Linked DNA regions of Arabidopsis thaliana. The protein of the gene in region 2 interacts with the protein of the main gene of each other region in a pairwise test. Each region holds a gene or a part of one and is shown on either strand. Other genes may lie near its edges.

Region 1 (7,202 bases), 3.7 Mb from region 2:
AAATGATCGAGTGATTTGGATGTAAGAAAATTAATTAGAAACGTTGGTTTTACCTTTTTTTGGCCGAGATGCTTTATTTCAAGAACAGAAATAGTATGGAATATAGTAAGAGAAATTGAGTGATAATACAAAAAATGTTACTTGAAAAATTTAGTTTACATAAGGGAAAAAAAAAAGAGCTCAGAGGTGTGGCATATCTCAACTGATAATTCAGAAAAATGCAAAGGACCCACCCAATGCTTAAGCCAATATCATCATAGCTTAGTGCACCAGCCGGGAATCGAACCCGGGTCTGTACCGTGGCAGGGTACTATTCTACCACTAGACCACTGGTGCTTATTGATTCTATCTCTTCTAGTTAATAATTATCTCTAAAATTAAACAACCTTCACACACAAAGTACGCACCACCACAGGATTGAAAGAGAACGAGAGAGCAAGCCATTGCAGGAAATGGCGATTCCAGTGACGAGAATGATGGTTCCTCACGCAATACCATCGCTTCGTCTCTCACATCCAAACCCTAGTCGCGTTGACTTCCTCTGTCGCTGTGCTCCATCAGAAATCCAACCACTTCGGTCTCTGCTCTCTCTTGTACTATTTCGAGTTTACGTTGTTCGAAACTGAGAACTCATTTGTCAAAATATGTTTGCATTTTCCTTTAGGCCTGAACTCTCTTTATCTGTCGGAATTCACGCAATCCCTCATCCAGATAAGGTAACACCAGACCAAAGTCTCTGTTTTTCTTCTTTGGATGTAATGAATTTGGATTTGCTTAGAGAATATTTATGCAATTAAAATCGACATCTAGTGTCGAAATTATATAGGTAGAGAAAGGTGGTGAAGATGCTTTCTTTGTAAGTAGTTATAGAGGTGGAGTCATGGCTGTTGCAGATGGTGTCTCCGGGTAAGCTTTAGCTTTTGGTTATGCTAACTTTTGAGTTTCTTTGTGGGTTTATCTTAATGTTGATAAAGTTTATATTTTTTTCTGTCTCAGTTGGGCTGAACAAGATGTTGATCCTTCCTTGTTCTCTAAAGAACTTATGGCTAACGCTTCTCGTTTAGTTGATGACCAAGAGGTCAGATATGATCCTGGTTTTCTCATTGACAAAGCTCATACCGCAACTACTTCTAGAGGTTCTGCCACAATGTGAGTGAGATTTGATTGTTATTCTCTTCAAAGATTGGTTTTTGTTCCCTTTTTGGATAGCTTGATGTCCCGGTTATTGATGAAAGCAGTATTCTAGCTATGCTTGAGGAAGTGGGTATTCTCAAAATAGGCAATGTTGGTGACTGTGGACTTAAGCTTCTTCGGGAAGGTACTACACTGTAACCTAAGATGCTAGATTGTTTTCATGTTCAGCCTTTGACAAAGATCTTCTTCTTTCATTCTCATTTTCAGGTCAGATTATTTTTGCCACTGCTCCACAAGAGCACTATTTTGACTGTCCTTACCAACTAAGCTCTGAGGGGTCTGCTCAAACTTATCTAGATGCATCGGTAAATAAATCCTTACCACTCTTCATGATTTGTGCTAGTATTGTACCTTTGTATCATTTTTTTTGCATTTCAAGCAGTTTAGCATAGTGGAAGTACAGAAGGGAGACGTGATCGTGATGGGTTCAGACGGACTTTTCGATAATGTGTTTGATCATGAGATCGTTTCTATAGTGACCAAGCATACAGATGTTGCAGAGTCATGTATGTATATGTATATACCATCTCTCTTGATTTTTAGTAAGTTACATGTTTTTTGGTATAACCATTACAGCAAGGTTATTAGCTGAAGTGGCGAGTAGCCATTCAAGAGATACAGAGTTTGAGTCTCCATATGCATTAGAAGCAAGAGCCAAGGTAAGATTTTTAACTTGATCTAAGAATGAATTTTACCAGTTCACGCAAAGTATATCTGAATCAACGTATATGTGCAGGGGTTTGATGTTCCTCTCTGGAAGAAGGTACTAGGAAAGAAGCTTACAGGTAAATAAACAACAATGTTGATGCATTATCCTGACATATTATACTAAACAAGAGTAGTTTCTTAGTTGAGATCTCTGGTTCTGAAAATTGCAGGAGGGAAGCTTGATGATGTCACTGTGATCGTTGCCAAAGTTGTTAGCTCATGAATCACTCTGTTCATGATAAGATCTTCTCTTTATTCTTTTTGTACAAGTCCTTGTAAGAAACTTGTTCTTCACAGAAATTGATAAATGGTATTTCAAAGTTCAAACAATAAGAATCGAATCTTTATCATTGACCTTGTGAATGGACACTCTTTAAGCTCATCTATCTCTTTATAGTATCTTTCTCATTAAAACAAATAAAAGTACAAAATTTCTCTATCAATGCAAACCAGAAAAAAGGCCTTGGGGTTGTTGTAACTCTAATCTGATAACATTATTGCGTGAAGAAAACAAATAAATTATACAAACAGAGATCTTCTCTAAGAGCTAGTGTTAATACTAACCAACCAGTAGCTAGCTCTATGAAGAATCAATGACCTGAATCAGGCAAGTAAATTATGCCAAACGCATGTATGTTTGTGTCTTTTCAAGCTGCGTTTGCTTCACCATTGAGATCTTGAAAGAAAGATTTGACTGTTTCATAAGTGGACCAGCAAATCGCAGCTGCTGGAGCATGGAAGAGCATTCTTGGTAGCCATCCTCTAGCAAGTCCTCTATAACCGTCTTTCTTCACTATTGTACGGAACACATCGCTTATTGAACTGCTCTTGAAACGGTCACAACCACACACACCCTGAAACATCACCACAAACAAACTTCTCAGAACAAACAAAACAACCCAAATCCTATGAAATAGCTATTGACCAAGTATTCTAAACCACAAATATAGAAACATTATCTATGCGACTTTCACATGTAAATTCAGTAATATTAAGTTTTATGACCATAGTTCTAACAATGCTTGATGCAATCTACATGTTACCTATAAAATCATACTCGTGAAATCACAAAATATCCAAAGAGAAGAAAGAAGATATCTTTCTTCATTCAAGTGATCTATAGGATCAAGAGACAACTACTTAAAGTAGCTTGGCCAATCTATAACCACATTAGCTATCAGATACTTAAAAGTCAGTAGCTTTAGAGATATTTCAATCACCTGACATTGCAACTGCGTCTTAACAACATCAAGCGGAGTAGTTACAGCAGCCGCTAACCCACCAGCCGCAGCTCCAGCAGTAGCATAAATCAACCAACCTTCCTCATCCTCTGCTCCAACAGCATGCTCAGGCAACATCTCCCTCAAACCTCTCTTAACCGCCTCATAAGTAGTGAAATGCACAGCGGTAAACGGAGCATTCATCAACACAGTAGTTCTATACGAAGCGTAAAAAGCACCAAACCCTTCCTCACGCGTTACTCTCTTGATACAATCCCAAACTCCTTTATAAGTTCCATTCCCAATTTGCAACCTTTGCTTAACCATATCCATTGGAGTAAACACAGCATCACTAGATATAGTAGCGAAAACACCGGAAATAGCGTGTGCAGCAGAGTTATTAGGGTTTCCACCGGATAAAAACTTCTTAGAGACTTCATAGAATGAGAAATAAACAGCGTGAGCTGGTCCAGCACCAAGTCCCATAGCCCAAATACCTCTATATAAAGCAGAAGGTCCATCGGTTTTGATAATTGAACGGAAAGCTTGACGGATTCCGATTGGTTTAATCGGACATGAACGAAGAGCTTGCATATGGGTTTTGACTGTATCTACTGGAAACATAGCCATGTGTTCGACTGAGCCAGCGATTGAACCGGCGACCATTAGTTGCCAGAATTTAAGAGTTGTGTTTTGAGCTGGAACGATGATTGCTGGATGAAAATCCGGTGGTTGTGGGATTGGACGGAGATCGGATTCTGGGAATTTGGTTGTTGCTTCTGTTGCCATTGTTTAGAATTGATTGAGAGAAAGGTTTGAGCTTTTAGGGAGATTAGGAGGAAGATGAATCTGAAGGAGGAGAGGTTTGGTTAAATTAGGGTTCCGAGAAGATTGGAGAAATGACCAAATCTGGAGATTTCTCCGACCAGAGAGAGAGGATGCGGCGGTTAAACTAAAGACAAAGCATGGGAGAAACCTCTGCCTTGTCTTGTGGGCTTTAACATCTTTTTCCCCAAGTAAAAATATATTTTTTGCCTTTTTACGTTTTTGCCTCTTTAGTGTTTTTTACCAAAACAAAAACGTACTTTTTTACTTTTTTTTTTTTTTTAAATCGTACTTTAATTTAAGCGATATGAACCTAACCAAAAAAACTTATTAGATTATGTTTATATTATGAATACGAATATTATTTTTTTGTCATCGTAAATTTTTAAAACTTTGGTAGAATTTAAATGTACACAAGTGGAAAAAAATTTATCCCTTGAAAACTAATAAGTGTTATCTATATTATTAATTGAGAAGTATTGTATGAACTACAACATTGTAAGGGTAGTTTAAAATTAAGTAAATGAATTTTTGCATGGGTAGTTTAGTAAATTAACAATCACTACAACAAAATAAATATCTTGGATTTTGTTCTTTTAAAAAATCGACTTTAAAATCAATATATTCATAATTACCCAATCCCTCGATTTTTAAATATACAAATTATTTTTAAATATATTAATCCAAGATGTACCACATGTCAATCCCTCGATTTTTTTATTATATTACAATAACAATATTTAAAATAACAAAATAATTTTTCATTTTACGGAATGAAATTATATGGTGGGATGAGTTTGAGTTGATATTAATAAAGGACGATAATCTACGAGTGAAATTTTAGAATTAATAATTATAACATAATTATATATTCTTAAACATTAAACAAAATAAACAATATTTACAAAATAACTATATCTTAAAATTTGAATTTTTAGTTACAAAAAAATCGACCAAAGGTGTACCACGGAGAAAATTTTACATTATATCATCTAATTGATCAAATTTCAAACAAAAACAATCAATTTATATATACATCAAACTAACAAAAATACACAAATTTTCTAAATATCTCTATATTATTCTACAAATCGAAACAAATCTAACAATCTATTTACTATGCAAAATACAAATAAAATATAAATAATATAAATTACAAAAAATAGCTATTTTATCATAAATAACACTTTACACTTTTTATGCATATTATAATTTATACACTATAATATCTTTCACTAAAAATATATTCCAATACATTTTTAAAAATATGAAACCCCGCACGTATACGTGCGGGTCAGAATCTAGTTATTTATAAACCGATAATTCTTAAAAACGAAGAACTCAAATCAAAAATAAAGTAAAAAAAAAATTGTCCTAAAGCATTAGATATCAAGTAAAATATTAAATTTACTGCAAAATATGTTAAAATATTGGTAGATAAAACATGAGATGTGTGAAAATCATTCCTATTAAGATCAGATTTTAGAATTTTATGCAGAATTGGAGTATTTTCTCTAACAAACTGAATAAAATCTTTACAAATCTACAGCTACAGCTTACACTTACATCCAATATTCTACAGCAAATAATCTACAGCTATAGTGTAACCAATCAGCCAGTAAGCTTTACCAAAATCAATTCATTTCATAAATTATTTTCTATATTTGTCTCCTCACAATTCATTTCCAAAGTCAAACAAAAATTAGGCACACACGAGATTAAGCTCTACCAAAGAGTCTAACAAATGAACTTATAAATAACAGTTTTACAAACAATCTTAAATCTCTACAAAGTTTGAATCTTTAACAAACTTATACAAATACTAATATAGACTTGAATCATTAACAACAATAGAACTCACACGATCTTAGTAATATCTTTAATGAAAGCATCGATGTTAGCATCAGAAGAACCACCTTTCGCAACCGCTCCACGACATATCTCACTGAGATCACAAGTCCTTCTTCTCATCTCTTTCCCTTCTTCACTCTCTCCATCCATAAACCTTTTTACCAATTCCTTGATCTCATCACTCACTATCAACAACTCCATCTGCTTCTTCCTCTCGATCCCCATTCCAACTCTCCACTCCTCAACAATCATCTTAGCATTCAGAAACTGATCCCAAAAAACAGGAAATGTAAGCAACGGTACTCCCGAACATATCCCTTCCAATGTCGAGTTATACCCGCAATGCGTCCAAAACCCGCCTATAGCCGCATGACACAAAACACGTAGCTGATCACACCAGCTCACCACAACACCCAAGCTACCTTCAAGAGCCTCCTTAAGCTTTAACTCACCCCCACGAGCCACCCAAAAGAACTTAACTCCAGCCTCTCTAACTCCTACAACAATCTCCTCCATCTGAGCTTCGGAGACTGAAAGAAAACTCCCTTGAGATATGTAAAGAACAGAGCTTTCAGGTTGCTCATCAAGCCACTTAAAGTAATCAAGTTCTCTATTCTCATTTCCAACGGATAGTTCTTCCAAGGGTATTAACGGACCAGTGGAGTAAACCGGGAAATCAAACTTGGAAGTGAAAAAGTCAATGGCTTTTGGTTCGAGCTCATAAGCAGAAGGGAAGAGAAGATACTTAGCTTTATAAAGCTCACCGAAAGACTTTTTGAATATATTGAAGACTTGATGACTATAGCCGTGTAAGATCTGTAAGTCACTGAGTCTTGTCGGAGATAAACCGGGGATGTAATCAACAATCTCGTCTAGTTTTGATTCTGGAAACAAACCCGGATTCAGAAATCACTAATTATGGATGAAAGTATTGAACTTTACGGTTTTGATCAGTAAAAATGGGAACTTTGTAACTACCTGATGGTTCGATCGGAAAATGGCCGTGACTTGCGAGAAGATCGGAGTTAATGAAGAGGGAGAGAATCGTGGCTGACGTAGTCCAGAAAGAAGCCACCGGAATATTCCTTTTTGTGCCTACACGTACTGCCCAAATGATGTAAGTATCGGCGATGATTGCGGTGGGAGGAGAGTTTAGACGGTCAAGTAGCTGTTCGAACGGCTCTTCTAATCTGGTGAGGACGGCGTCGATGAAGGCGATGAAGTCGTTGGCTCGGACGAGCTCGGAGGGAATGATGTTGGGGAGAGTGGCGAAATGGATCCGGTTAGGTTTCGGGTCGGACCCGATGAACCCGAGCCATTCTTCGGTGACGACGAATGTGACGGTGAGGTTTGGGTCTCGCCGGACGAGGCTTTTGCAGAGGTTTAACATTGGGTTGATGTGGC
Region 2 (9,310 bases):
ACTATATATTTACATAGGACTTTCAAAAAAGTTATTATCTTATTAATTTATCGATGTGTTACACTTTTTACATTGGTCCTAACTTGGGATCTGGTGAATTTATTAATTTATAGAGGTTACTAATTTATCGAGTATTAATTTATGGAGGTTTAACTGTAAAAAGAGTTGAGGTTACCATTGCAATAAAATATGAGACAATGTGTAGAGGAGGATAAAAGATTGAACAAAAAGAAGAAAGCCAACTAGTTTTTGTCAAAAGGATAATTTTCCATGTGCATGCAAGTATGCAACCACATCAAAATCATAAATAAACATTGTCTAAAATGTTTCTAATAAAAATAGATGTAAAGAAAATTCATCAGTTTAATAACTAGGGTTTAAGAGATATTTACAAATACTAACCATTAACATCATATTTAATATGACTTTGTAAAATCTATGATCAAATAACATGCAATTTTTTTAATATGTAAAATAAATTATCTCAAAATATTTGATTGAATATATACCCTTTAATTTAGCATTGATTTTAAAAATCCAACAATTTTCTATAGTATATTTTGTAATAATGTTATTGGTTCCTAAAAAAGATGGTCACATCATTCATTAAATAAAATGAAATAAAGAAGTGTTTCCTTCGTCGCATTGAATAAAATAAAGTAAACCTTCCAAAGACTTTTCATTGTCTTCGCCTGCGAGCGCTAAAATTATCTCCGAGCATTCTCAAGTTGGGTGATTCGGTACGGATTACTGATTTGGGAGAGAAAAACCCTAGATTGGAATTAGATTCTGGGTTCTTGGGCTAAAGGTTTCTTCATCTCCTTCGAATCATCCTTTTGTAAGTCCAGTGGATGTGAAAACCCAGTACTCACTGATTCTTTTTATTAGGAATTTTGTAAGGTTTTGGGTAGAGTTTTCACAGTTTTGATGATACTAAAATGTGGGCCACTGGGTCTAGAGAATGAAGAATCTTGCTTTTAGTGACAAAGGTTGTTCCTTTGGAGTAGTAAGTGAGCAAGATATCAGAAAAACTGAACCTTTAATCTCAAGAATTTACTTTGATTGGAGCTTGTGAAGTCCTTGTGTTATTGTTGCATGATGTTTTCTTTGAGATAACTTGGCAATGTGTGTTTGGTGTTATTGTAGAGGGAGCAAGACGATGAGTAGAAACCCTTTCCTGGATCCTACTCTTCAAGAAATTCTTCAAGTGATTAAACCCACACGAGCAGATAGGGATACGAGGATCACAGTCATTGATCAGTTGCGTGACGTCTTACAATCCGTAGAATGTTTAAGAGGTGATGACTCTTGATGCACTTTTGTGCTTCTCCCATTTTTCTTACTGTCTAGTACTGCCTTGAACCATACCAGCCATGGATGTGATTATGATATTGGATATGAAAGTGAGATACTTCGAGCTTTCAGTAAGGTAATATCTGCTGGAATTGTAGCTGCAGAATAGTAGAAGTGGTTCATGTTACTCTTTCGCACTATTCTCGTTCTGGAAACAAATTATTTCATGTGATGCTTATAGCCGCTCGTTGTCTGGTTCTGTGATTGTTAGGTGCTACTGTTCAACCATTTGGATCCTTTGTGTCAAATCTCTTCACACGATGGGGAGACTTAGATATCTCTGTTGACTTATTCAGCGGTTCTTCCATCTTGTTCACTGGAAAGAAGCAGAAACAAACTTTACTCGGACATTTACTACGAGCACTGAGAGCGAGTGGTGATTCATTTAGCTTCTATTTTTTTCTTCTTTTTTTGGTTTTCTCTTTGCTTCACTGTTGTTTACCTTATATACTACTTAAGTAGTTTAAGTATTATTTCATGTGCCGATTTGTCTCACATCCATTATCATTCAAAAAACAGGTCTATGGTACAAACTGCAATTTGTTATTCATGCGCGAGTTCCTATTCTGAAAGTAGTGAGCGGCCACCAGAGAATTTCTTGTGACATTTCTATTGATAACCTGGATGGGCTTTTGAAGAGCAGGTTCTTGTTCTGGATCAGTGAAATAGATGGGAGATTCCGCGACCTGGTTTTGCTAGTAAGTTAACATGCAAATAAAACCATATTGTGTGTTTCCAAAGGTTTAATTGATTCTAAACGTATCTACCTCGTGTATTCTACATTTGTAGGTGAAGGAATGGGCGAAAGCTCATAATATCAACGACTCAAAGACCGGGACTTTCAACTCTTACTCTCTCAGTTTGTTAGTCATCTTCCATTTTCAGGTAAGATAGCTGTTCTGTATTCATAGATTTTGCTGCCTTCAGCCTTCTGCAGTTACTGCATCATTAGAAACCATAGTAAGATGTTCTATGTTGTTTGTTGCAGACTTGTGTGCCTGCAATCTTGCCGCCTCTAAGAGTGATATATCCGAAGAGTGCGGTTGATGATCTGACAGGTACGCTCAATGAAAAGGTTTTGAAGCCAAACCACACAAAATATATGTGTTTTTGGGGTAAAGGGACAAAAGTTTTAGCGGTATGGTGTCTTGTAGGTGTACGGAAAACTGCAGAGGAAAGCATAGCGCAAGTTACTGCTGCTAATATTGCGAGATTTAAATCAGAGAGAGCAAAATCAGTCAATCGAAGCTCGCTCTCGGAGCTGTTGGTCTCTTTTTTTGCAAAGGTGATTGATTTCTCATACATTCTAGCTTTAATTTTTTTCCCTTAATAATATCCACTAAAGTGCTCTTGATAGAAATTAGTATCTTGATTTTGCTGTGTGGCTGTATCTATCAGTTTTCAGACATAAACGTGAAGGCCCAAGAGTTCGGTGTTTGCCCGTTTACTGGAAGATGGGAAACTATAAGCAGCAACACTACATGGCTGCCAAAGACATACTCACTCTTTGTTAGTCTCTTTCTCTTTCTTTCTCTTAACCTCTTGTTGAGTTATATTCATCTCTATGGCACCATGTGAGTCTCCCGGCTAACATGTGGGAATGGTGTGTGTTTCAGGTTGAAGATCCTTTTGAGCAGCCGGTGAACGCTGCAAGGAGTGTGAGCCGTAGAAATTTGGACAGAATAGCTCAAGTATTTCAGATTACATCGCGCCGTCTTGTCTCAGAGTGTAACAGAAACTCCATCATAGGGATTCTGACAGGGCAACACATTCAAGAGTCTTTGTACAGAACAATAAGCCTCCCAAGTCAACATCATGCAAACGGTATGCACAATGTCCGTAATCTGCATGGTCAGGCTAGGCCACAGAACCAGCAAATGCAGCAAAATTGGTCACAGAGCTACAATACCCCGAATCCACCACATTGGCCACCACTAACACAATCCCGACCACAACAGAATTGGACTCAGAACAACCCCAGGAATCTTCAGGGGCAACCACCTGTCCAAGGCCAAACTTGGCCTGTAATCACACAAACTCAAACGCAGCAGAAGAGCCCATATAAGAGTGGGAACCGACCATTGAAAAATACATCTGCTGGTTCAAGTCAGAATCAGGGCCACATTGGTAAGCCATCTGGTCATATGAATGGTGTGAACTCTGCAAGACCTGCATATACGAATGGTGTGAACTCCGCAAGGCCTCCATCAAAAATTCCAAGCCAAGGCGGACAGATCTGGAGACCGAGACATGAGCAGTAGAATGAGGTGTGCAGACATGGTTCAGAGATACTCCTTCACATATTTTGGATGATTTTGTATTCTGACCTTGGGGCTTTTTTTCTATGGATCCATTCGTTACAATCAACAGATTTGCAATAGCAGAATGTTGTTACTAAAAAATGAGGACGAGGTAAACTTTTACTCAGTAAAACACCACAATCAAATTTACAGTTACATTAAGAGAAAAAAGAAGAAAACAATAAGAGATATACTACCAAACAAAATATATTGTGTTGACTAGTGCAGTAACTTGTGTGGTATTAAGCTCGAAGGAGACGCTTCTCGCATGTTAGAATCCTGTAACTTGCGTGAGGACCCTCGGATGTGTCACGCAGAGAAGTATGCCAACCCATGGCCTTTGTGATTTCTTGAATTTCATCCATAACATCAATTGAATCCCTAATGTATGCTCTTCCACCGGGTCTTAATATCCGGTCCATCTCTAACAATATGGTTGACATCTCACATCTGATAATATTCAGACAAGACAAATGGTTAAACTCAACTATAGGCACCACACGATCATAGATTAAAAATTTATAAATCACTTTGAACTTGAGTTACAGATAATGATGCTTACCTTTTTCTCTCGATCGAGAAGAGTCCAGAGGCATGTAAGAAGTCATATGTCCGTGGGTATGTATCAAATGGTTCACACCTGAGGTAGAATGCATCACTTATTAAAAAAATATCCAGAGCCAGAGACTAAATCTTAGTTTACCTTAAGACACATAAACAGATGAACTTTTGTGTTTAAAAAACATGAACAGAGAAAAGGACAAGATGAATCACTAATTTCCAAGGTTTCAACTATAGGATTCCAAATTCTGATTTCATATGACAGATTCTAAGGAGAAAACAGTACCAATCGTGCATCACTCCTAACAGTCCACGGTCATAAATGACAGGCAATGTGTTAGGCCCACTGACAGGAACCACGCTTAGAACCCAGCAATCGAGTTTATGATCATTTAGTGCAGCTGCAAATCTGCCAAAGCCAAAGGAATAAATGAAGAGAGATAAGCTAAGATACCTGTATAATACCTAACAAAGAAATATTATTTCATACCCGCCAAAGCCTGCTCTCATGTCCAAAACATTTCTTAGTTTCATCTTTTTCCATTTTAAGGCGCGAACATAGCCCCCAATTATTTCATTCCAATATTTTGATTCTGCCTTGAATAGCTCTTTCCTAGCAATGTAGGAATCAAATTTTATCGTCTGCAGCCTATCAGGTGGAGTATGCAGACGGGCAGGCCATAAGGGGACGTTTCCTCCGTACCCTTTCTCAGGTATGCGACTGATGCAAGGTTTCAGATTTGTGTACCTAAAACAACAATAAATCAACATGAGGCATAAAAAATGTGATATTTTGCACACATTGTCACAGACAAGTTAACAGACAGACTAGATGCAATCAAAACAAATCAAATTGAAAAAAAGTTCTGATGCAACTCTGACAGCATTTTAAGAACATGTAGCCTTTATTCTTCTGTTGTTATGCTTCCACATGCAGGTAGCAAGATATGGCCTTGTATCACAAACAAAGAAAAACAGAAAGATTAGCAGCTGTACCAAACATTATCGGGATCATCTGATTCATCACAAAGAGGAGGTTTAGTCCCAGCCTCACGACTCAAATAGCAGTCGTTGTTGAAAGGCTTCTGCCAGATTGCAACGTATCCTTCCTTCTTTACCAATTTCCAGCAGAGGCTAATAGTAAGATTCAGCATTTCTGGAAAACAAAATGTGAGATTAAAAGAGTACACATATTGGCTGAATCAAAGTAGTAATAAAGAAAAAAAAAAACTCTCCTTAAACCCACAGAGACAAACTGTAGTAAATAATAAAGCCACGTACAATGATTACTAACTCCAAAAAGTTTATTAAGACCAAAGAATTTTATCAACCCTGAATTACAGGCCTACTCAAAGCAGATTAAAAGGATGTTACCTGTCCATTGTTCTTCCAAAGCGGGTTCATGCTTATAAACAGGCTGTGCAGCCCAAGCAAAATATCCTCCAGCGCGCAGCATTCTATTGATCTCAAGGAGCAAAATTCCATCTTTATCACAAAGAATGAAACAGCAGAGTGAGAATTTTCTGTACAAGTAATAAAAGCTAGAGCATAGTTCACACAGGGAGTTAAAAATTACAGTAGGTGCAATCTTAATCTTTTTCTGATGTATTAGGTGAAGAATCAAGCACACCATAGAACCTTACCATCACGAGTCCAGTTGATTCTACATCTTGAACAATGAATAAGATCAAAAGCTTGGCTTGGATATAACAAACGCCTTGTCGCAAATGCTGCCGCCATAGCAGGCACACCACGCTCAAGAGCAAATTGAATTTGGTTCTCATGGACATCTTTTGGTGCAACAGACATTGTCATGACATCACGAGACAATAGATAAGCACCAAAACTCGCCACACCACAACCAACATCCATAGCAACCCTAATATGCTTGCCAAACGTAATATCAGAAACCATCTGCAGACACAAACTCCAGAGCTCAACATCAGATGAAAAGATACATAAACAGTTGACGCGAAAAACAAGAACTACTACTTGGAAAAATGAGCCACCTTAGACATCTGGTCCAAGTACTGATCAGCCCCATGAATAAACTGTGTACCACCTCCAGGAAACTTGAACTTGTTCTTGTCTCGTGAAATCCAGTTCTGACCTCCTTTGTCTTCAACAAGCCGAGTATGAGGAACATTGCTAAACCATACCTATCCATAAGTAAATTCCAAATACTACTTAAACTAAATCCCAAGACATGTTATCCAACCAAAATGCAAAACTCATGCAAACAAAGGAGTACCTCGTCACGGCTTTTAGGCCATGGAATCGGCTGACGGTAACCTTTAGGAGGTGGAACTAAGCAATTCAAGCCTTTACCTTTCTCAGGACAATGACGCTCGAATCTCTCACCTCGCTCTGTCGATTTAAGCTTCTTTATCACATCAGTATTATCCAAACAAGGTATATACTCTCTCATACTCTCAGGACACATCCCAAATTTCTTAATTCTAACCCTAGCCTTAGAATCACCGTCGCTTTTCGCCTCAACGATCTCAGTCTGATTCCCCCAATCTTCCACTGTATCACTCTCAACCTCACCCACCTCAAAATCGTCAGACATCACACCGTTCGCATCAACTATCCCAAAGCTCTTAACCGGACCAGGCGGAGGAGGAGGTGAAGGAGAAGGAGGTGGAGGAGGAGGAGGATTAGCTTCCACCTTAACCTTCTCCGTGTCCGCCACCACCGACGGAGGTTGTTGTCGTATTGTGGCGGGGATTTCAATCTGGGTATGGTTAGTAGGAATTATCGCTGATAAATTAAAGACTCTGTTACTATTCGGTGAAACGGAGACCTCCGGGATCGAGCTACCGGAAGTGGAAGAGGAGAAGAAGACGAGCTGTTGGTAGCCATCGTCGGACCAATGCTTGCCTAAGTAGAAGAAAGCGACGGTGACGAAAACTAAGGCGGAGATCTTGATCAGAGTTGGGGATTTGAACAGATCGCCATTAGTGAGAGGCTTCATTAGCTTGCGTGTGAAGGATCAGCGATCTCTGGATCTGCGTAGTGTTGTTGTGTGAGAGAGGATGATTAGTGTAATTTTACAGTTGTTGCTTTTGGATTTTTCTGGCGTTCGGTAAAATTATCACTACAGAAGAATTTGCAGAATTTAGTTAAAAGATCAGAAAGTTGCAGAGAGTTTTATATAAAAAGGGTCTTTTCAATAGCATGTCTTGTTAAAATCTAATTCAGCAAAAAAAAAAAAAAAAAAAAAAATAGTACATGATAGTTTGTTAAACGTTATCGGCAAATGATGAAAAGATTTTACTAAAAACTGGTTTTTTTTAATCATGTGATTGAATATAATCATATTTATAAAATATTTATGTTAAATGTTCTTATGATAAAGTGCGATGAGATTCTAATAGTAATAAATATTTGTTTTACTATTAAAATTATATCACACAGTGCGGTTCAGTCTTCATGCAAATGAATATAATGGTTGAAGCGAACAAATCCGTATACGGATTAAAACGTTTTTCATTTACCTAAAAAATCATTGTAAACTAACAATGGATTGTTTTTACATACAAATATAATTGATTTGTAGCGGTTTGTTGTCCATCTTGTAGATGAAACGGACTAATCGCAAACGGATTTGTCCACCTCGACTGCGATAACCATTCAAACAAGATTGAAAAGAAAGAGAGACAAAGGTTTAAATGAAATTAAGAATGTACAATAATGTTGGCTTATGGTCGTTGGACACTACTTTCGAGCCCATTACATTTAATATCCTTTAAAATAAAAAATAAAGAAGGCGAAAACAGTTTCCCCCAAATTCTCATAATTTTCACAAACAACCTCTCGTCTTCTAGGTTAATCCAATTTCGTCGATTCATGAAGTTCACAATTCTCCCATCGGAAAATTCTTCGTAATCGACGACGAAGAGATCATGAGTACCGTCGGAGGTATAGAGCAGTTGATACCTGATTCCGTTTCAACGTCGTTCATCGAAACGGTGAACGGTTCGCACCAGTTCACGATTCAAGGTTACTCTCTAGCCAAAGGCATGAGCCCTGGGAAGTTTATACAGAGCGATATCTTCTCCGTTGGTGGATACGATTGGGCGATTTACTTCTATCCTGATGGGAAGAACCCGGAGGACCAGTCCTCGTATATCTCTTTGTTCATCGCTTTAGCGAGTGATTCTAATGATATTAGGGCTTTGTTTGAGCTTACGCTTATGGATCAGAGTGGGAAAGGGAAACATAAGGTGCATAGTCACTTTGATCGGGCGCTTGAAGGTGGTCCTTATACACTTAAGTATAAAGGAAGCATGTGGTAATTGCTTCGTTTCCATTTCATTTTGCTGTTGTAGTATGATATAATCGCATTTGTTAGGTTACTGTGGCTTGTTGCATTTAGGTTTTAGTAATGTTGTTTATCTTCTGCTTGAATTGCATGTTGATAGTTTATTTTGCAGAAATGTTTGTGGTGGAATGAGCTGCTAGTGCTTCTCTGTCAGAAGCAATTAAGGAACTTTATCAATGTGTTTGTGCTTTTGTTTGCTTACGGCTAAAATTGTGTAAAGCACAAGTTTTTTTAATTGTATGGTTCATATTGTTCTTTCTCTTTCTTTAAAGTATGGCTTTTGAATCCCTTGAGAGGTTTAAGGTGTGTGCATGTTGCTTTTGAAGTTTCGTGAATCTTTTTTTGAACTCTTGCATCATCTGTTGATTTCATATATTGACTCATTTCCTTGAAAGTGAGGTTTCCTTCTGGAAGTTGGTGTTTTCTCTATCATGACTTATCATCACAAATTTCAGGGGTTACAAACGCTTTTTCAAACGATCAGCTTTAGAAACCTCTGACTACTTAAAGGATGATTGTCTTGTCATCAATTGTACTGTTGGCGTTGTTAGAGCCCGACTCGAGGGTCCAAAACAGTATGGCATTGTGCTACCCCTGTCGAATATGGGTCAGGGATTGAAAGACTTGTTAGATTCTGAAGTTGGTTGTGACATAGCTTTCCAAGTCGGAGATGAAACATACAAAGCTCACAAACTGATTCTCGCGGCACGCTCCCCAGTTTTTAGAGCTCAGTTTTTTGGACCAATTGGGAATAACAATGTGGATAGAA

What was found.
Region 1: the proteins of AT2G39750 (region 2) and AT2G30160 interact in a protein complementation assay, tested with the Arabidopsis thaliana proteins (one large-scale study listed by BioGRID).

The regions. Positions count from the first base shown.
Region 1 is NC_003071.7:12,874,725-12,881,926, reverse strand, and holds AT2G30160 (Mitochondrial substrate carrier family protein), read right to left. Parts: upstream 4,129-7,202; 5' UTR 3,912-4,128; coding exon 3,123-3,911; intron 2,757-3,122; coding exon 2,550-2,756; 3' UTR 2,266-2,549; downstream 1-2,265. Other genes in the region: PBCP (Protein phosphatase 2C family protein), read left to right, coding at 453-577, 665-716, 827-906, 997-1,149, 1,239-1,318, 1,402-1,499, 1,577-1,700, 1,771-1,853 and 2 more; AT2G30150 (UDP-Glycosyltransferase superfamily protein), read right to left, coding at 5,805-6,682, 6,777-7,202.
Region 2 is NC_003071.7:16,575,091-16,584,400, forward strand, and holds AT2G39750 (S-adenosyl-L-methionine-dependent methyltransferases superfamily protein), read right to left. Parts: upstream 7,347-9,310; 5' UTR 7,192-7,346; coding exon 6,466-7,191; intron 6,374-6,465; coding exon 6,224-6,373; intron 6,129-6,223; coding exon 5,858-6,128; intron 5,700-5,857; coding exon 5,589-5,699; intron 5,371-5,588; coding exon 5,211-5,370; intron 4,963-5,210; coding exon 4,705-4,962; intron 4,624-4,704; coding exon 4,501-4,623; intron 4,294-4,500; coding exon 4,216-4,293; intron 4,104-4,215; coding exon 3,896-4,103; 3' UTR 3,734-3,895; downstream 1-3,733. Other genes in the region: HESO1 (Nucleotidyltransferase family protein), read left to right, coding at 1,160-1,298, 1,565-1,729, 1,873-2,051, 2,143-2,238, 2,342-2,411, 2,508-2,638, 2,752-2,862, 2,970-3,614; BPM3 (BTB/POZ/MATH-domains containing protein), read left to right, coding at 8,123-8,511, 8,997-9,310.